Linked DNA regions of Rattus norvegicus. The protein of the gene in region 1 interacts with the protein of each later gene in a biochemical or structural test. Links are inferred from orthologs where the notes say so. Each region holds a gene or a part of one and is shown on either strand. Other genes may lie near its edges. The genes, in order: Jup, Dsg1, Cdh1 and Ctnna1.

Evidence for each region.
Region 2: the proteins of Jup (region 1) and Dsg1 form a complex in vitro, tested with the Homo sapiens proteins (2 studies listed by BioGRID and IntAct). The link is inferred for Rattus norvegicus from reciprocal best matches to the Homo sapiens genes JUP and DSG1.
Region 3: the proteins of Jup (region 1) and Cdh1 form a complex in vitro, tested with the Homo sapiens proteins (2 studies listed by BioGRID). The link is inferred for Rattus norvegicus from reciprocal best matches to the Homo sapiens genes JUP and CDH1.
Region 4: the proteins of Jup (region 1) and Ctnna1 form a complex in vitro, tested with the Homo sapiens proteins (2 studies listed by BioGRID). The link is inferred for Rattus norvegicus from reciprocal best matches to the Homo sapiens genes JUP and CTNNA1.

Annotation. Positions count from the first base shown.
Region 1 is NC_086028.1:85,824,403-85,828,890, forward strand, and holds the start of Jup (junction plakoglobin), read right to left. Parts: upstream 3,028-4,488; 5' UTR 2,642-3,027; exon of another isoform or gene 2,569-2,641; intron 1-2,568. UniProt on the Homo sapiens protein: Common junctional plaque protein. The membrane-associated plaques are architectural elements in an important strategic position to influence the arrangement and function of both the cytoskeleton and the cells within the tissue.
Region 2 is NC_086036.1:11,958,039-11,961,899, reverse strand, and holds part of Dsg1 (desmoglein-1), read right to left. Parts: intron 3,388-3,861; coding exon 3,352-3,387; intron 2,925-3,351; coding exon 2,793-2,924; intron 1,722-2,792; coding exon 1,566-1,721; intron 278-1,565; coding exon 133-277; intron 1-132. UniProt on the Homo sapiens protein: Component of intercellular desmosome junctions. Involved in the interaction of plaque proteins and intermediate filaments mediating cell-cell adhesion.
Region 3 is NC_086037.1:51,453,856-51,457,716, reverse strand, and holds part of Cdh1 (cadherin-1 precursor), read right to left. Parts: intron 3,047-3,861; coding exon 2,903-3,046; intron 2,795-2,902; coding exon 2,639-2,794; intron 1-2,638.
Region 4 is NC_086036.1:27,054,329-27,058,189, forward strand, and holds part of Ctnna1 (catenin alpha-1), read left to right. Parts: intron 1-2,429; coding exon 2,430-2,596; intron 2,597-3,050; coding exon 3,051-3,170; intron 3,171-3,861. UniProt on the Homo sapiens protein: Associates with the cytoplasmic domain of a variety of cadherins. The association of catenins to cadherins produces a complex which is linked to the actin filament network, and which seems to be of primary importance for cadherins cell-adhesion properties.

The DNA.
Region 1 (4,488 bases):
CAAGAGACTGTCAAGAAAGGACGGGGGGGGGGGGGGGCGGGTTGGGGATTTAGCTCAGTGGTAGAGCACTTGCCTAGCAAGCGCAAGGCCCTGGGTTCGGTCCCCAGCTCCGAAAAAAAAAAAATTAAAGGACAGTGGGGGGATACAACTTCCATCCAGGGCCGATGATGGATCCCATGGGAAAGTGCTTGCCTACGTGCAAATCCACAAGGCCCTGGATTTGGTCCTTAGCAGCCAAAAGAAAAAGGGGAAAGAAAAAAGAAATCCTTCCAGAGTTGTAGTAGAGCCTAACAGCAGAATGAGGTCTGAGCTTAGCCCTCTCTTGAGTCTAGCAACACTGGGCAAGTTGCTATCCTTCCCTGAGTTTCTGAAGAAGACATTAAAGTGCGCCTGCCTCGGGCTGGAGAGATGGCTCAGTGGTTAAGAGCATTGCCTGCTCTTCCAGAGGTCCTGAGTTCAATTCCCAGCAACCACATGGTGGCTCACAACCATCTGTAATGAGATCTGATACCCTCTTCTGGTATGTCTGAAGACAGCTACAGTGTGTTCATATACATAAAATAAATAAATAAATCTTTAAAAAAAAAAAAAAGTGCGCCTGCCTCTGTGAGCATGGTTAGTGGCGCTTGGTACCAGACAGTCTTCTGGCTTTGAGTTACCATCAGTCAAGTACTTTCTGGGTAGCTAGGTTTATTAATTCCTGAGGTCGCTGAGCCAGGAAGGTGCTTTGACGCAGGCTGCACAGGTAAGGAGACACTGCTCAGGGATTCAAACTATCTCAGTCCAAGTCCCTGTTCTCAGAGCTGACCCCTTAGACTGTCTCCCTAGATCACTGTCCTTCTGTGGACCAGCCAAATGTGTCACCTTGTCCTAAAGCAGCTCTGCAGGACGACAGGCCTCCCTCTCATAGGCAATGACCTGTGGGCCCCCAGGAAGGAAAACAGTCAAGCAGGCCCCGCCTGACCTTCCGTTCCCACAGGCTGCATTCTCCAAGCTCAACCTTAGCAGGCCAGACGGCGGCTCCAGAGGGAATGGGGTGGAGCTCGGGTGCGGGGGAGGCTTCTGTCACCCAAGCCCAGACTTGATCTGGTGAGAAATGACTAATCGGATCCTACCTTTGCTTCCCCTCCCTCCTGTCCGTCAGAAGCCAGCTTGGGCCGGGCAGCTCATAGCCCTACTTCTTCCTCAGTACTGTCTTTTCACCAGAGCCACGAACCAGATTTGCTAAACTATTCATTTAGTTCACCTAATGACAATGCCTACCCCTCCTCCTCCTTGACACGGAGAGGACATGAGCCTAAAACTAATGCCCCCAGTTCTTCCTAGAGGTGGTCACACATATTTTACCAACCACAGGACCTAAGGCGAGATTACGGGGGATATGTCTCCCACCCCCACTCTTCTATTCACAACCAAGCACCACCTCAGCTTCCAGGAGAATCAGAGCAAACAGTGCTCACGACCCCCACCCCATCTTCCCTCTGCCCCCCCCCCCCGCTAGCGTTGTCATTCCTGCTCTGTCCCCCCAAGAAGACTGGACTCCAAATGCCTATGAAAAGGCCAATCTTCAGATTTGTACAGAAGAGTGCAGCAAGCCGAGTAGAAGTTGACAATTCCAGCTGGAGAGGAGCTCTCAGCACAGGGAACCAAGGGGAGGGCTCACACTGTTCACCCTGAGGGTGCCTGGCATGGCAGAAGCCTTCCATAGCAAAGACTTCCTCCTGTCCCACTTTCCCCGCCAAACACTCAGTTAAAGAGTGGGTGGAGGAGGGACTTCTGGCAAGTCCTCTAGAAAGGACGCACCTTCATAATTCAAACCCAGTGAACAGCAAGCAACATTCCTGCCCTATGCTACCCTGCCTCAATGGTCAGCCAGCTAAATAAGCTGGGGGATGGAACGGGGGAGTTGGGGAAAGATTAATCACTCTTCCCAATCTTCCTAGTTTGGCCCAGCCCTGCCCCAACCCCATTCCTGGGGAAGGGGCAGAGCTTGGGAGGAGAGGCACTTAGCAGGCCTCATATAAGGGGGTGTGGTGGTCCCGTGAGGATGCGAAAAGGGAAGGAAGAAGACACTTCCCTTTTCAGCAACGCCCCCACCCACCCCCATTGGTCCCTACCTCGGGCCTTAGGGGCCTAGCAAACAGGATGGAGGTGGGGGCAGGGAGAACCGGGTCAAAGCGCACAGGCTGTGTTCAGCTTGGAGCTGACCAGGGAAGAGGCTTTCCTCTAAGAAGTACCACCAAGCCTTGAATCAGCTCTCAACAAGGAGACGGGGAAAATCCTAGAAAAGGCCCCCACGGTTACTTTCTCCTGGAAAGTTTGTTTGGAGTGATTTCTCAACAATAATGGGTTGCAGAAATCAAAAGATATCGCTGTTTCCCTACCAACACTCTGGAAACCACAAGCTACTAAAATCTGGGCGAGTGTTTCTTAATTTTCTCTACCGGCCCAGACTCCAGGCCATGCCACCAGGTCAGACAGACATCGGTAGGGCACTGAGCCCAGACCCTTCACCAGTTCCCCCGTCACCCCATCCACCTCCGTAAGAGAAGCCATAGACCGGCGTACACTAGAGCGGAGGGAGGCGCCACAGGTCCAGCTCGGAGCTACAGGGCAGGGCCTCGGTCCTCCAAGCGCTCACCTGCTCTGCTCAGCAGGTGGGAATCGCGTCTCTGGGAAAATGTGCACTCGGCCCCCACAGTTGGGTAAGCTGGGCGCAGACAATAGGGCCCCACCCAGGCCTGGGGGAGTAGGGAGGGAGGGAAAGCGAGGATGACGCGTGGGGTGGGGTGAGGGTGGCCCCAAAGAGACTAGGCAGCAAGTTTCCCGAGCGGTAAATTCCTGTCACCGTGGGATCTGGGACCAGGCGGAGCGGGTCAAAGTCTGCCCGGTCAGCTCCAGGGGAGAGTCAGCGACGCCGCGTCGGGCAAGCTCCGCGGGCCCTGGGGGAGGCGCGAACTCCGAGGCACCTGCCCTAGTTCCTCCCCGCCCTTCTCAGACCTGCGGTTCACCGAGCCTGGAGGGGCGCTCCAACCCAGATCGCTTGTCCCAGGGGTCCCGTGCCCCGGACCCCAGTGCGCCCCCTGTCGCTGGTGTAGGATGCACTCCCTGGCACCCGCCCTCACCTGCCCTGAAACCGCTGGAACCAACCTCTCGGCCGCTTGCCCTACTCTACCCTCAGTGATACGTACCCCTATCCGGTGTACCTGAGCGTGGAGCCGGGCCGAGCCGGGTCGGGGTCGGGTCTGGCCGGGAGACAGCCGGCGCAGGCAGCGAACTGAGCTCGGGGCGCTCGGGCGGCGGCTGCTCCGGACTCTGGCCAAGGCAGCAACTCAGTAACCGAACAAAAGGCAAAGGGACCTGACAGCCAAGCCACACCTCTCGCCCCCTTGAAGCTCCGCCCCCTAGGGAGACTCCCACCCTCTGAGGTTATCTCACTGGCTGCCCAGCCTGACTATCCTATTGAGGGGCGGAGCCTCACGCCGGGACCTCTACCACGGCCGCCTCTGTTTATGCGCTCACCATTGGCCCCAGGGACTGCCAGTCGACTCTGGGGTGGACGCCAACTTGAGGTCTCATCCTCACTCTGCATCTATTGGCAAATAGAAAGTTTCTTCCTTATGATTGGACAGAGGGCTGTCAGTAAGACTAAGGCAAAAGCCAATGGAACAGGTGGGGCGTTACTTGCCCCACCCTAGCCCTGAGCAGGTAAGACTCATTATTCTCCCCTTCCCCCTACCTGTCCAACAGGTGAGTCAGGGGGAAGCATGGGAAAGGACTGACGCCTTCACTAGCCAGCCAACTCAGCGTCAGGATTATTCATTCTTGCCTCAACATAGTAATAAGATGTTTGTAAAGCATTTCATAGGCTTTGTGCTAGGTTGGGATTTCTCCCCCTACAAAAGATGGAGTGTTCCCGGTTCTCTTCTGTTTAGAATTAGAAGGCCTGGTTTGGGTTCTCCCCTTAATCTTTGTATGACCTTAGGCCAGCTAGTATACTTTTCACCCTGTATCTAAGTGGGTTCATTAGCTTTATCTATCTTGGGTTGGAGAGATTAAATAAACTTTGTAGCTTAAACAGCTGAGGAATGTCAGTATTTAAGCCAGTGAGATGGTCCGTTCGAGACAGTTCTTAAAAAGTGCTGGAGCAGGCAGCCAGGCAGTGGTGACACGGGCCTTTAACCTTAACCTCGGCACTCAAGGAGGCAGAGGCAGGCAGCTCTCTGAGTTAGAGGCCACCCTGGTCTACAAAGAGGGTTCAAAATGATCCGCATTAAGAGAATCTTTAATGGGCTTGTGTGATGTCTCAGTTGGGCAAGTGTGATGACCTGAGTTTGATACCTGGTGGAGGTAGACCAAGTCCAAAAGGTTGTCCTCTGTCCCCTGATCTCCCGCCTTGGCACAAGTGCCACACACATAAAAGTAAATACAGTGTAATGCGATTTTAAAACTAAGCTCCAGAGATCGAAAGACTAGGAAATGTGGTGC
Region 2 (3,861 bases), on another chromosome or scaffold:
GAGTCGTTGGTTCCGGATGCTTTCTACACTTTCTCCCAGTTGATGTTTACCTTGCCACAGCTCAGCCCCGTTGCCTAGCAACAGCAATTTAGTCATCAACACATTGTTTCTTTAATAGTGCAGGTGACTCACTTGCGTTAGAGTTTTCCTCGATTTGTCCTAGAAATGTAGTCATTGAAAACACAGGAGGGTTGTCATTTATATCCATCACCCTGACTCTAAGCTCTAGTGGATTCTCCAGGTCTTGACCTTGTGCATTCAGTGCTCGGCAGTAGATCTAGACGGGAAAGGAAAAAGTCAGTGGCAAGGCATGTATTTGTCACTTCTCACAGAATGCAGGCATCCCTGGGTACCACAGGATTAAGGGACACATTATTATTATTATTATTATTATTATTATTATTATTATTATTACTTCCCACTAAAACAGCGACACGAGCAACTTATACAATCAATAAGACAAGGCAAGGAAGAGCATTCAATGCAAGTTTAAAAACATCCTGGTACGTTAGATAAAAGGAATGATGCATAGTCTATGTTTACAATCAAGCCATGCCAGAGGAGGACGTTAGAGAATGTGGTCAGGGATAGTCAGGAGCACTGTAAACAATAAGTGGCATTCTTAAGTGTTGGAATACCGATTTGGACTTGGAAGCCAAGTGATTAAAGTAATTCTAGGGACGCAGATGAGCAGTGTGAATTAAGGCAGCAAAAAGTAAGGAATATCTGAAGGTAGCTTGGAATATGATTTTTTTTCAGGGCTGGGAATCAAAGCCAGGCCTTTTCATGGAGTCAGCAAATGCTTAATCACTGAGTTTCATCCTCCGATCTTTGATGGGATTTTAATAGAAGAGACTGTAAGATCAGTGAAAAGTTTGTTTTCATTTTTATTTTATTTTTTTTTTAATTAAGAAATGTCAGCCATGTGATTGATGGAAATGGAGGCAGTCGATAGATGAGGAGAACAGAAGAGAAAAGGTAAGTCAGAGGTTAAGGCACATTAGAAGAGAGGCTACTGAAGTTGTGTGACAGTGTCTAGGAATAAAAAAGAGAGATAAGGCCAGGTAGGGATGAGTGAGTTTCTGAAGTTAATTTAGAGCTCAGATGAGTTTGATTATAATGAAATTTGTTCACATGAAACAACTGGCCTCCAGGAGCTCAAGGCTCATCCCTTGGCTTAAAAGGAGAAAGGCAGGGGGACATAGGGGACGGGGAGGGAAGGGGAGGGAAAGCTCTGATCTGGATGCAAAGTAAATAAGTTAATTAATGAAAAGAAGGAACTATTGATTTCCACTGATGTTTCTCTTTTAAAGATTGAATAGAAGTTAAAGATTTGTCCTTCCAAACAAATTAATTTGTTACAGAGCTGATGTAAACTAAGATTTTTGTTAACACATAAGGGAAACATTTCTCTATTAATATTTCCTCATCTATTGGGGTAATGAATTAAGAAAGATCTCAGAAGGCCCAATATTGAGACTCTTGAAATCAAATCTGGTATGGTCTAAGATTTTTCCAGGAATAACATCTACTTGAATAAAGATATTGACACAAAGCCCACTTACAATGAAAAAGGGGGTGACTTCACGATCAACAATGGATGTTATATTGATTTCGCCAGTCTTCTGATTAATAATGAAGATTCCATAAGGTGGTTGGTCAATTCCTACTCCGGAGATGCGGTATGTCACTGGTTGGTTTGCAGCACAATCTGAATGAATCTGTATAAAGACACAGTGAAGATGTTACAAGGGCCATGTGAACTTCTACACGCAACAGATGACAACTGTCTTCCTGGAGAACTGTTGAGTATGCGGTCTACAACATCACCTGGGAGTTTTTAGAAACGGGGAAATGATAAATAACAATGTAATAAAACAATTCCATTTCTATGTCTACCAAACAATAAAGAAACAAATGTCACCCTAAGAAGTCTTTATATACATCAGTCATAGAGGTCATAATCATCAAACATTTATAGTTTTATTTTCATATTAGTTTTGGACTCTGTGCTAGCTCTTTGTCTAGAGATAGCCTTCTTAGAGAGTTATCATGTAATGTTGGTATTTAAATTAAATATAACTTTAAAAATACAAAGATTCAGGAAAGTATTTAAATGGACTTTATAGTAGCAGGCTATTTGAAACTTCTAATTTTAAAAGTGGGGAGGAGAAGGAAAGTACCCACTCCAATAAAGGGTGGTAACTTCTAAATAGTTTATGAATATAAGCAAATCTTACAAGGGAGTTGCCTGTGTATCTGTACAAATGGCTGTTTTTACATCTCTGTGTGTGTATCTACATGTCTGTGGGGGTGAATCTGTGTGTATGTAGGGAGTAGGTTCCTGAGTTTGTGCTTTTGTGTATGAAAAAAAGAAGAAGGAGAATGAGAGGAGCTTGAGGTTATGAACGAGACAACCTCTGGATGTTTGTAAATATGGGCAAACAGGAGTTAATTCTGAGGGTTATGCAGCAGAAAGAGCACATGGTCTGACCACGTTGAGTCCTCAATGCATTTGTAAATCATGGTCCTTTTGGAGTTTAGTGTTACGCACGTTCATGGGTGTTACTTTTGCCAATGAGACAAAACGGTGTTTAGCGCTTTATTCAAGCACCCAACGTTCTTGGTTTATCCCTTTAGGAATTTTGGTTTTCATAATTTGAGTGGGGCGGTGCTGTTAGACCGTACCTTTTCAGTAATATGTGTTTACAAAGCACATGAAAACTGGGCTCTTCCAGAAGTGCGCCCTAGCCCTTGTGCGGTCCAGACTCCTGTTCTGGGTTCACACTTACTTTGGCAATTGGGTTTCTTTTTGAGTTGTCTTCTCCTTCCCGACAGGCTGCGGCGAACTTGATCCATTCTCGTTTCTGCCTTCTGATGGAATGCCACTTGATGGTACCATTTTTGGCGTTATGATCTCTTACCTTAAATAGGTAAAACGTTGTGTCTGTTAACTGTTACTTATGGGTATTCCACTGGGGATTTTGGAGGAGGAGCAATTATGTCAGGAAGAGAAGATGGATAGTTTAGTGGCAAACTAAGAACTCTGGTAATTTTAGCAGTTGGAACTGTCCCACTGTAGTGGTTTTGTATTTATAAGAATGAAGGTTTTCTTGAGGACAGCCAAGTCAACTCTCTTTTGGTCTGCTCCCTCTGTCCCTCTGTCCCTTTCCCCATTTTCTCTTTCTAGTTTTTTCTTTTCTTTTGTTTATTACATGATTTGAGACAGGGTTTCTTTCTGTAGCCCAGGGGACCGCTTATCCACAGTTCTCATGCCTCAGCCTCGGGAGTGCTGAGGTCACAAGCCTTCACTACTCTATTAGTCTGGGAAAAAAAGGTTTCAAATCTTACCTGGATTTGAAATTCACTGTTAACTTCAAGCACCACCTGTGAAAAGCAGCCACAACGGTTAACTTTAAACTATTTTAAAGTCTATATTACTCAATAAATAAAAACACACAAAATAAAAATAAGATCAAACAATACAGGTGTGGGGTAAATTAATGGCTCTAACTCTTCCTTATCTCTTTCTCCTGATCAGCAAGCGCTCTCTACATTAACACATGTGCTATGAGCAGTGTTCTGTTCAACTTAAGTTCCAGATCTGAATGTTGCAATAACTTGTGGTGAAGTAGCAGGATATATTAAGTGATTTTTAATCTAAAATTGTGATTATTTTTAAAACACTGATATTCACATGTCAAAGTAATGTGTCTGTATATTTGTTTAAGACATGGTAAAATGTACAACTAAAAACGAAACATTTTTTACATTCCTTACTTTATTTTGCACTGAGGGTTAGTTTATGTGAGTGTGAACCCTTAGGTTTTGCAAATATATTTTCAAATAAGAAGTATTCAG
Region 3 (3,861 bases), on another chromosome or scaffold:
AGGCAGAACACCAATTTAAAAAAAATATTTATTTACTTATGTGTACTGGTGTTTTGTCTGCATATATGTCTGTGTGAGAGTGTTGAATCCTTAGGAACTGGAGTTACAGGCAGTTCTGAGCTGCTGGGTGTGCTACAGATTGAACCAGGTCCTTTGAAAGGGTAGCCAGTGTTCTTACCTGCTAAGCCATTTCTCTATTCCCCACCCCCTCTCTTTTACACACACACACACACACACACACACACACACACACACACGAATATTTTGGCTCCAGGTATGTATATATACCATATATATACCTGAGCTAATACCTAAGGAAGTCACTGAGTCCCCTTGGACCTGAGTTACAGATGGTTATGAGCTACCGTGTCAGTATGGGGAACCAAACTCAGGTCCTTTACAAGAACAACCAGTGCTCTTAACAACTAAGCCATCAGGGTTGGGGATTTAGCTCAGTGGTAGAGCGCTTGCCTAGCAAGCGCAAGGCCCTGGGTTCAGTCCCCAGCTCCAAAAAAAAAAAAAGAAGAAGAAGAAAACAAACAAACAAAAAAAAAAAAAAAAAAACCAAAAAACAAAAAAATAACTAAGCCATCTTCTGAGCCAAGTCAACATCTTACAATTTTTGTTATGTATGTGTATATGTCAGAAGTCACTTAGGAAAGGCTAAGGCATACAAGTGAGGTTTCTGGAGATGGCCACCATTTTGTATAGGTGCGATGGGTGAGCTCTGAGAATGCAGGGTCCTCAGAGACTTCATCCCAGGATTGCTTCTTGCTACTGTATTTCCTTTCACTATCGCACAGCCAATTCCTGGGCATCAGCCCACCCTATTGGGCACATCTCCTACAGAATCAATATGAAGATGTGCTTTCATATAGTAATGCCTATAGAATTGATGATTTCATAATTCTTGATAATGATTTTATAAAATTCCTAAATTGATACAAGTAATCTCAAGTCCCCTACAGAAGAAAAAGCTGCAAACAGAGCTCTGTAAACCGTCACGTGTTACAGGCTAACTGCACTAAGAAAAGAAAGCAGCAGGCGGGGGCTGGGGATTTAGCTCAGTGGTAGAGCGCTTACCTAGGAAGCGCAAGGCCCTGGGTTCGGTCCCCAGCTCCGAAAAAAAGAACCAAAAAAAAAAAAAAAAAAAAGAAAGCAGCAGGCTTGGAACAAATTTACGACCAAGTAAAACATTCCTTCTAGGTTAGGAACAAGGCCACTATCTGGTAACTAAAGGTCATAAACTGGGAATGGACAATTTATTGTAGGTGCAAATACAACAAATAAAATATTGACTAGTTTATCTATACAAAACTTCAAAACTAATAAGACGCAAGGTAGGTGATTTATCTCTTAACAAAATTGTGTTAACTTGTGATAAAAAAAATTATTTACTTATATTGGATTTATGGGTCTAGAAGATAGATAACAGATGTTTCATCAGATACTAGTCTTAATGGGAAGAAATGTAAACATTTCTGCTGTAACTCCTTAAATCTTATAACTATTGCCTTAAATTTACTATGAACTTACAGAACGTAAGAGTGTTTAGAAATCATGTAATCGTTGGGGATTTAGCTCAGTGGTAGAGTGCTTGCCTAGCAAGCACAAGGCCCTGGGTTTGGTCCCCAGCTCCGGGGGGGGGGGGCGGGGGGGGCAAATTACATTATAGAAATCATGTAATCGATTATCCTACTGCAACAGTTCTAACTGATAGTTGTATGAGGGGATTTTCAGAGAATGTGAATAGTGAGAACAGAAACAAAGATTTGTTGGAGCTTCTTCTCTCTGCTTCATCCAGAGTGAGTGTTTTTCTGTGTTAGAGACTTTTCCTTTCTCTCTGGCTTACAGAGTTAACAGAACTCTCAGCCTCAGTCAAAGAGGAGTCAGCCCAAGCAACTAACTACTTTTCTTAATCCTCTACATCTACCAGCAGGAGTTAATTGCCAGAAATCAGCAGCTTTTAGCCATAGAATAGCAAGAGAGTTAAACTGCCAGATGCCATTAGCTTCTGGCTCCTAGAACAGTAAGGAAGAGCTATAAGACTATCATCAGTCTTTAGCCTTTGTCCCTCCCACCTCAGTACCTATCCCCAGCTTGGCAGTATATATCTGTGTGTCTGTCTCTCTGTCTCTCTCTCTCTCTGTGTCTGTCTGTCTCTCTGTGTCTGTCTCTGCGTGTGTGTGTGTGTGTGTCTGTCTCTGTGTGTGTGTCTGTCTCTGTGTGTGTGTCTGTCTCTGTGTGTGTGTCTCTGAGTGTGTGTGTGTGCGCGCGCGTGTTCACACACACTTTTGTGGAGTTATCAATGGAGGTTGTCATAAGGTATCAGAGCAGCCGGAGCAGGAGTTTCAGGTGGTTGTGATCCACCTACATGAATGCTGGGAAGTGAACTCTTCAAGAGCAACAAATGTTCTTACCCGTTGAGCCATTCCTCCAGCCTACTTTGACAGCTTTTATCTAAGCTCATGCATGATATGATGAATCCCTACGACAACAGCAATGAACCGCCCCGACTTGTTAAGATAATTTAAGCTACTTGTATGTCCAGGACATCCAAACTGGGGAATAAAACACCAGCTGCTTTAAAATTTGACAATTGTTATCCAGTGGTCAACAATATCTAAGAAATACTCACAAGGTACTTGTCAATGGCTTCTCTGTCCAGAGGCTGCGTCACTTTCAGCCAGCCTGTCTCCCTCTCAATGATGAAAACGCCAACAGGGGGTTTGTCAGCTCCTGGGCCGGTGATGCTGTAGAAAACCGTTGTCTCTTTGTCCCTGTTGGATTTGATCTGAACAGAAAACAGAAGCGAATGGGAATTGGAAAGGCAAGATCTCCACATGGGGTCTTTACATTTTCTCTTCTCTCAGGAGTGCCTTCCACCAGCTTCCTCCCGTACCTGAACCAGTCGCTGGGGGAATTCGCCCTTTTGATTTTCCGGGCAGTTGATGGGAGGGATGACCCAGTCTCGTTTCTGTCTTCTCAGACCCTGGTGAAAGCTGGGAAACGTGAGCAGCTCTGGGTTGGATTCAGAGACAGGGTCCTAGGTGGAAAGATTAACAAAATGAGGTAATGCAGAGGACATACAAGTCTAACAGTTCATCTATCCCATGGACGTCTTCCATCTTGAATTTAGTGACTCCTTCTCAGTGACAAATTACATGTACCATCCAGGATGAACAGCTAAAACATAAGCCAAAGAAATGCAAATGCTGTTGTCTGGACACTGACTACCCACAATATTCCCTATGCCTAAAAGCATTGTTCCTAACTTAGTGGCTAATGAGAGGTCTTCTCTCCTGTGTGCTGCTACTCTGATGTGCTACAAAATAAAAGTGCAATTTGGGCTTGAACCACCAGAAAGAAAAACTCAAGTTTTGTTTGTTTGTTTGTTTGTTTGTTTGTTTGTTTGTTTGTTTGAGATAGGGTTTCTCTGTGTAGCCCTTTGCAGTCCTGGAACTTGTTCTGCAGACCTGGCTGGCCTTGAACTAAAGAGAAATCCACCTGCCTCTGCCTTCCAAGTGCTGGAATTAAAGGCATGTGCCATCCATCACCACCAGGCTGTTCTCATTAAATTCTTAATATGTAGCATTCAAATAATCACCGTGCATACAAAATTTGCGGGTTTGAACATTTGATGATTGTATTTGAAAGTCATTTCAAACTTATATAGTACATGTCCTTTAAGCCCCAGCCTGCCCTGATGATGTCAGAAGTAATTCAGTAGCTAGCTAGCTATTTGGGAGTTCTGAGTTTCCTTTCTTCTGCTTTCCTAGGGGTGCAATTCACCAAAGTGGAGTTATCAATCAACAAGTTTGGTAATGCTCTTAAGAACTATTTTGAGATCGATACAAACGC
Region 4 (3,861 bases), on another chromosome or scaffold:
GTTAAAGTAATTGATTCTTTTTTTTTTAAATATTTTATTCATTTATTATATGTAAGTACACTGTAGCTGTCTTCAGACACACCAGAGGAGGGCATCAGATCTCATTACAGATGGTTGTGAGCCACCATGTGGTTGCTGGGAATTGAACTCAGGACCTCTGGAAGAGCAGTCGGTGCTCTTAACCACTGAGCCATTTCTCCAGCCCAAAGTAATTGATTCTTAAGAAAGGTCTTGATCTTAATCTTGTTCTAATAAAGAACTGAGGATTTATTCCCCTCTTTTGTCTTTGTTTTGAACTAATAGAAGTGCTTAATTGTTATGGTCTCTGAACGAGAGGAAAACATCAGGGTTGACAGATCTGGATTCATAGCAGATGGTGTAATAGTAGAAGGTTCTCTCTTTTTAAACTTAATTATTTTTATTTTTAATTTTAATTTATTTTTATTTTAATTTTTTTTTTTTTTAAAGACAGGGTTTCTCTATGTAGCCCTGGCTGTCCTGGTTCTTGCTCTTTAGACCAGGCTGACTTTAAAGATTTACTGACAATTATTGTAATTGAGTCTCACTATATAATAGCCCTTGATACCTTGGAGCTCACTGTATAGATCAGTCTGGCCTTGAACTTACCGAAATCTGCTTGCCTGGTTTTCTAGTGCTGAGAGTAAAGGTGTGCGCTATCACCTGATTGGTTTGCTTATTTTCTTTTTAGACATAGGTCTCATGTAGCCAGGCTGGGTTGGACCTTTTTTCATGTATTCAACTCTGTAATTGTGTTGCCTTTCCAAATGGTAGGATGATAGGCATGAGCCATTTTGTCTTACTTAAGAATCAGTCCATCAGTCAGTCAATCCCTCCCTCCCTCCCTCCCTTCCTTCGACAGTCTCACTGGATGGCCCTGGATAGCCTGGAACTCTTGTCTTTTTTTTTTTAATACATACTTTGACGTAAGTAGATTTTTTTTTTTTTTTTTTTGGTTCTTTTTTTTCGGAGCTGGGGACCGAACCCAGGGCCTTGCGCTTCCTAGGCAAGCTCTCTACCACTGAGCTAAATCCCCAACCCAGATTTTTTTTTAAAAAGATTTATTTATTTATCATATACAAGTACACTGCAGCTGTCTTCAGATACACCAGAAGAGGGCATCAGATCCCATTACGGATGATTGTGAGCCACCATGTGGTTGCTGGGAATTGAACTCAGGACCTCCGTAAGAGCAGTCGGTGCTCTTAACCACTGAGCCATCTCTCCAGCCCCCCCCCCTTTTTTTTAATTGTTTTAAAATTTTTATATGTTGTAGGTAGAGGTATGTATAAAGAGATATGTATACATATGGAGGTTATAGTTCGACTTATGAGAGCTGGTTCTTTCCTTCTGTTATGTGGCTTTCAGAGATCAAATCAAATGGCCAGGCATGGTGGCAAGTATTATCTGCTGAGTCATCTTGCTGATCTGGTTCAAGAATTGCTGATTGCTGCTGCTGATTTTCTTTTAATTTTTACAGAAAAAGCTTAGTAAAATTTTACTGGGCTGGGGAGAAGGGTTAGTGGCTAAAGTGCATTTATTATAAATGTGGTGCTTAGACCACATTTGTATCTTCAGATACAAATGTAAATTCTGGACGGGCATAGCATACCCATGTAATTCCAGCACTGGGAAGGCAAGGATAGATTTCCACAGTAAGCTAGTTAGCCAGACCAGAGCTCTGGGTTCAGTGGAGAGATCTTGCCGCAGTGAATAAGGTAAAAGGGGTCAACCGTGGGCATATACTCTCATGTGAAAAAGAAATTAGTCTTATTTATCTTAACTGCCACAGGGATAGCCTTTAAGGTGGCATTTGAGCTTAGTTCTTTTAGGACCTGTTTGTATCTTTTCTTTTTTTGTGTGTCAATTCAGAGATTGTTTTAATTGTTCAGCTTTATTTATTGGATTTTTGTAGGTGAGTGATGGGAAACTGGATCTGACTTTGTAGTCTGCCAGCCTTGAATCAGAAAGTTTTCTTTCTGAGCCTCTGGAATACTGGGATCATAGCTACAGGCCTCACACTTACATGCTCAGTGTGATTTGTATTTTGTTTTAACTAATAAGCACCTGGTAGATGGAGATTAAGTTGTTATGGTTGAAAGCTAGACTCTATTACAGCTGTTCTAAGTGTTTATCTGACTTCCTTTAGTCATTGAGTTAAGGGAAGAGCTATTTGTAAGCCTTTTTGTTATAGTGCCTAGTTACTTTCTGTGTTTGATCCTTGTTATAGGAAGATGCTTAAGTGATAGTACAAACTAAAGGGAGAAAAACAGAAACAGACTCTTAAAATCCATGTTTCTATGAAGTAATGGAGCGAGGGCTATCTTACCCTTTAATAAAATGTTAGTTTTTAATGAATAAATTATTTGGGTTAATTTCTGCTGGCTTTGTGTTTTCATTCTGTAAAACAGGAGATCTGATGAAGAGCGCTGCTGGGGAGTTTGCAGATGATCCGTGCTCTTCTGTGAAGCGAGGTAACATGGTTCGGGCAGCTCGAGCTCTGCTTTCCGCCGTTACCCGGCTGCTGATTCTGGCTGACATGGCAGATGTCTACAAGTTACTTGTTCAGCTGAAAGTTGTAAGTTTGGGTCTATGTCTATAATTTATTCTTCATGTCCTCGGGAAGTTAATGTTGGCCACACTTTGTTTAGTATTAAGAATTATTTTGGTTTTGAATCAGTTTTGATTGCTTCGTTCAGTTTCAAGTATTTATGATACAGGCTCCTCCATAGGCTACTGTTGCCTCAGTTTTGCTGAAGAAATTGTAACAAAGCTATTTTTGACTGCCTTTCTATATAGTACTCATTGTATGTTTCTTTGGACTAATGGTGTTTCCGAATTAGAAAGCCAAAATATAAACTAATTAGGTGCTCCCCAATTCTTCCAAATCACTCGAGCACTCAAGCAGTGCCAGGCCCCATCAACTACACATACATGTTGGGTTGCTGTCCGACTAGCTGTTAAAGAAGATGGCATCTTAGAACTTATTACATTTTACCTATGGATTTGATTGCTTTTCTGGTTTGTTTTAGGTGGAAGACGGCATATTGAAGCTGAGGAATGCTGGCAACGAGCAGGATCTAGGGATACAGTACAGAGCTCTGAAACCAGAAGTAGATAAGCTGAACATCATGGCAGCAAAACGACAACAGGTACAAGCACGAGTGCAGACGCTGCATGCTACTCACCTACTGATCGCTTTGTTTGTTATGGACCAGGCTAGAGTGTATTTTAATATCAGTGGGAATGACCTGATTTGCCTATGTTTTCTAATGGTGTCATTGCTTTCCCCTGTTCATGTGGTTCTAAAATTAAGTTTCGCTCACATTTCTATACAGTGTTTCTGTTTTAAGTAGTTCAAGGCTGGCTTTAAACTTTTGATTTTCCTTCCTTATGTTTTCGTCCCAGCATCTGTTTTCGTGCTGGGGTTAAAGGCATATACCAAGATGCTTGACTAGATGGTATTCTTGAGTAAAAACATAGTAACAGTCCAAAATTTATTTCTAAATAGAGAAACTTACTAGAAAGTAATTCTGTCTGAATTTTAATTCTCCGTGCCCCCGAGTTCATTAGGAATTCCTTGCACATCAGCACTTCTCAACCTGTGCATTGTGATACCAAAGATATTTATACCATCCACGCAGCACTGAGAAGGCCCTCTCATTGTATTGGAAACAGGCAAAGGGCATCCTCCCTCAAGACCACTCAGGACTCTTCCTTACCTTACAAAGCCACTAATGTCACCATGGGGTTACACTTCTCGTAATGTTAAGAGGGAAATGAGAAGAAACTTTCACTTGGATTTCCAGTGTTCTTAGTAGAGTTAGATTACTCGGAGCTTAG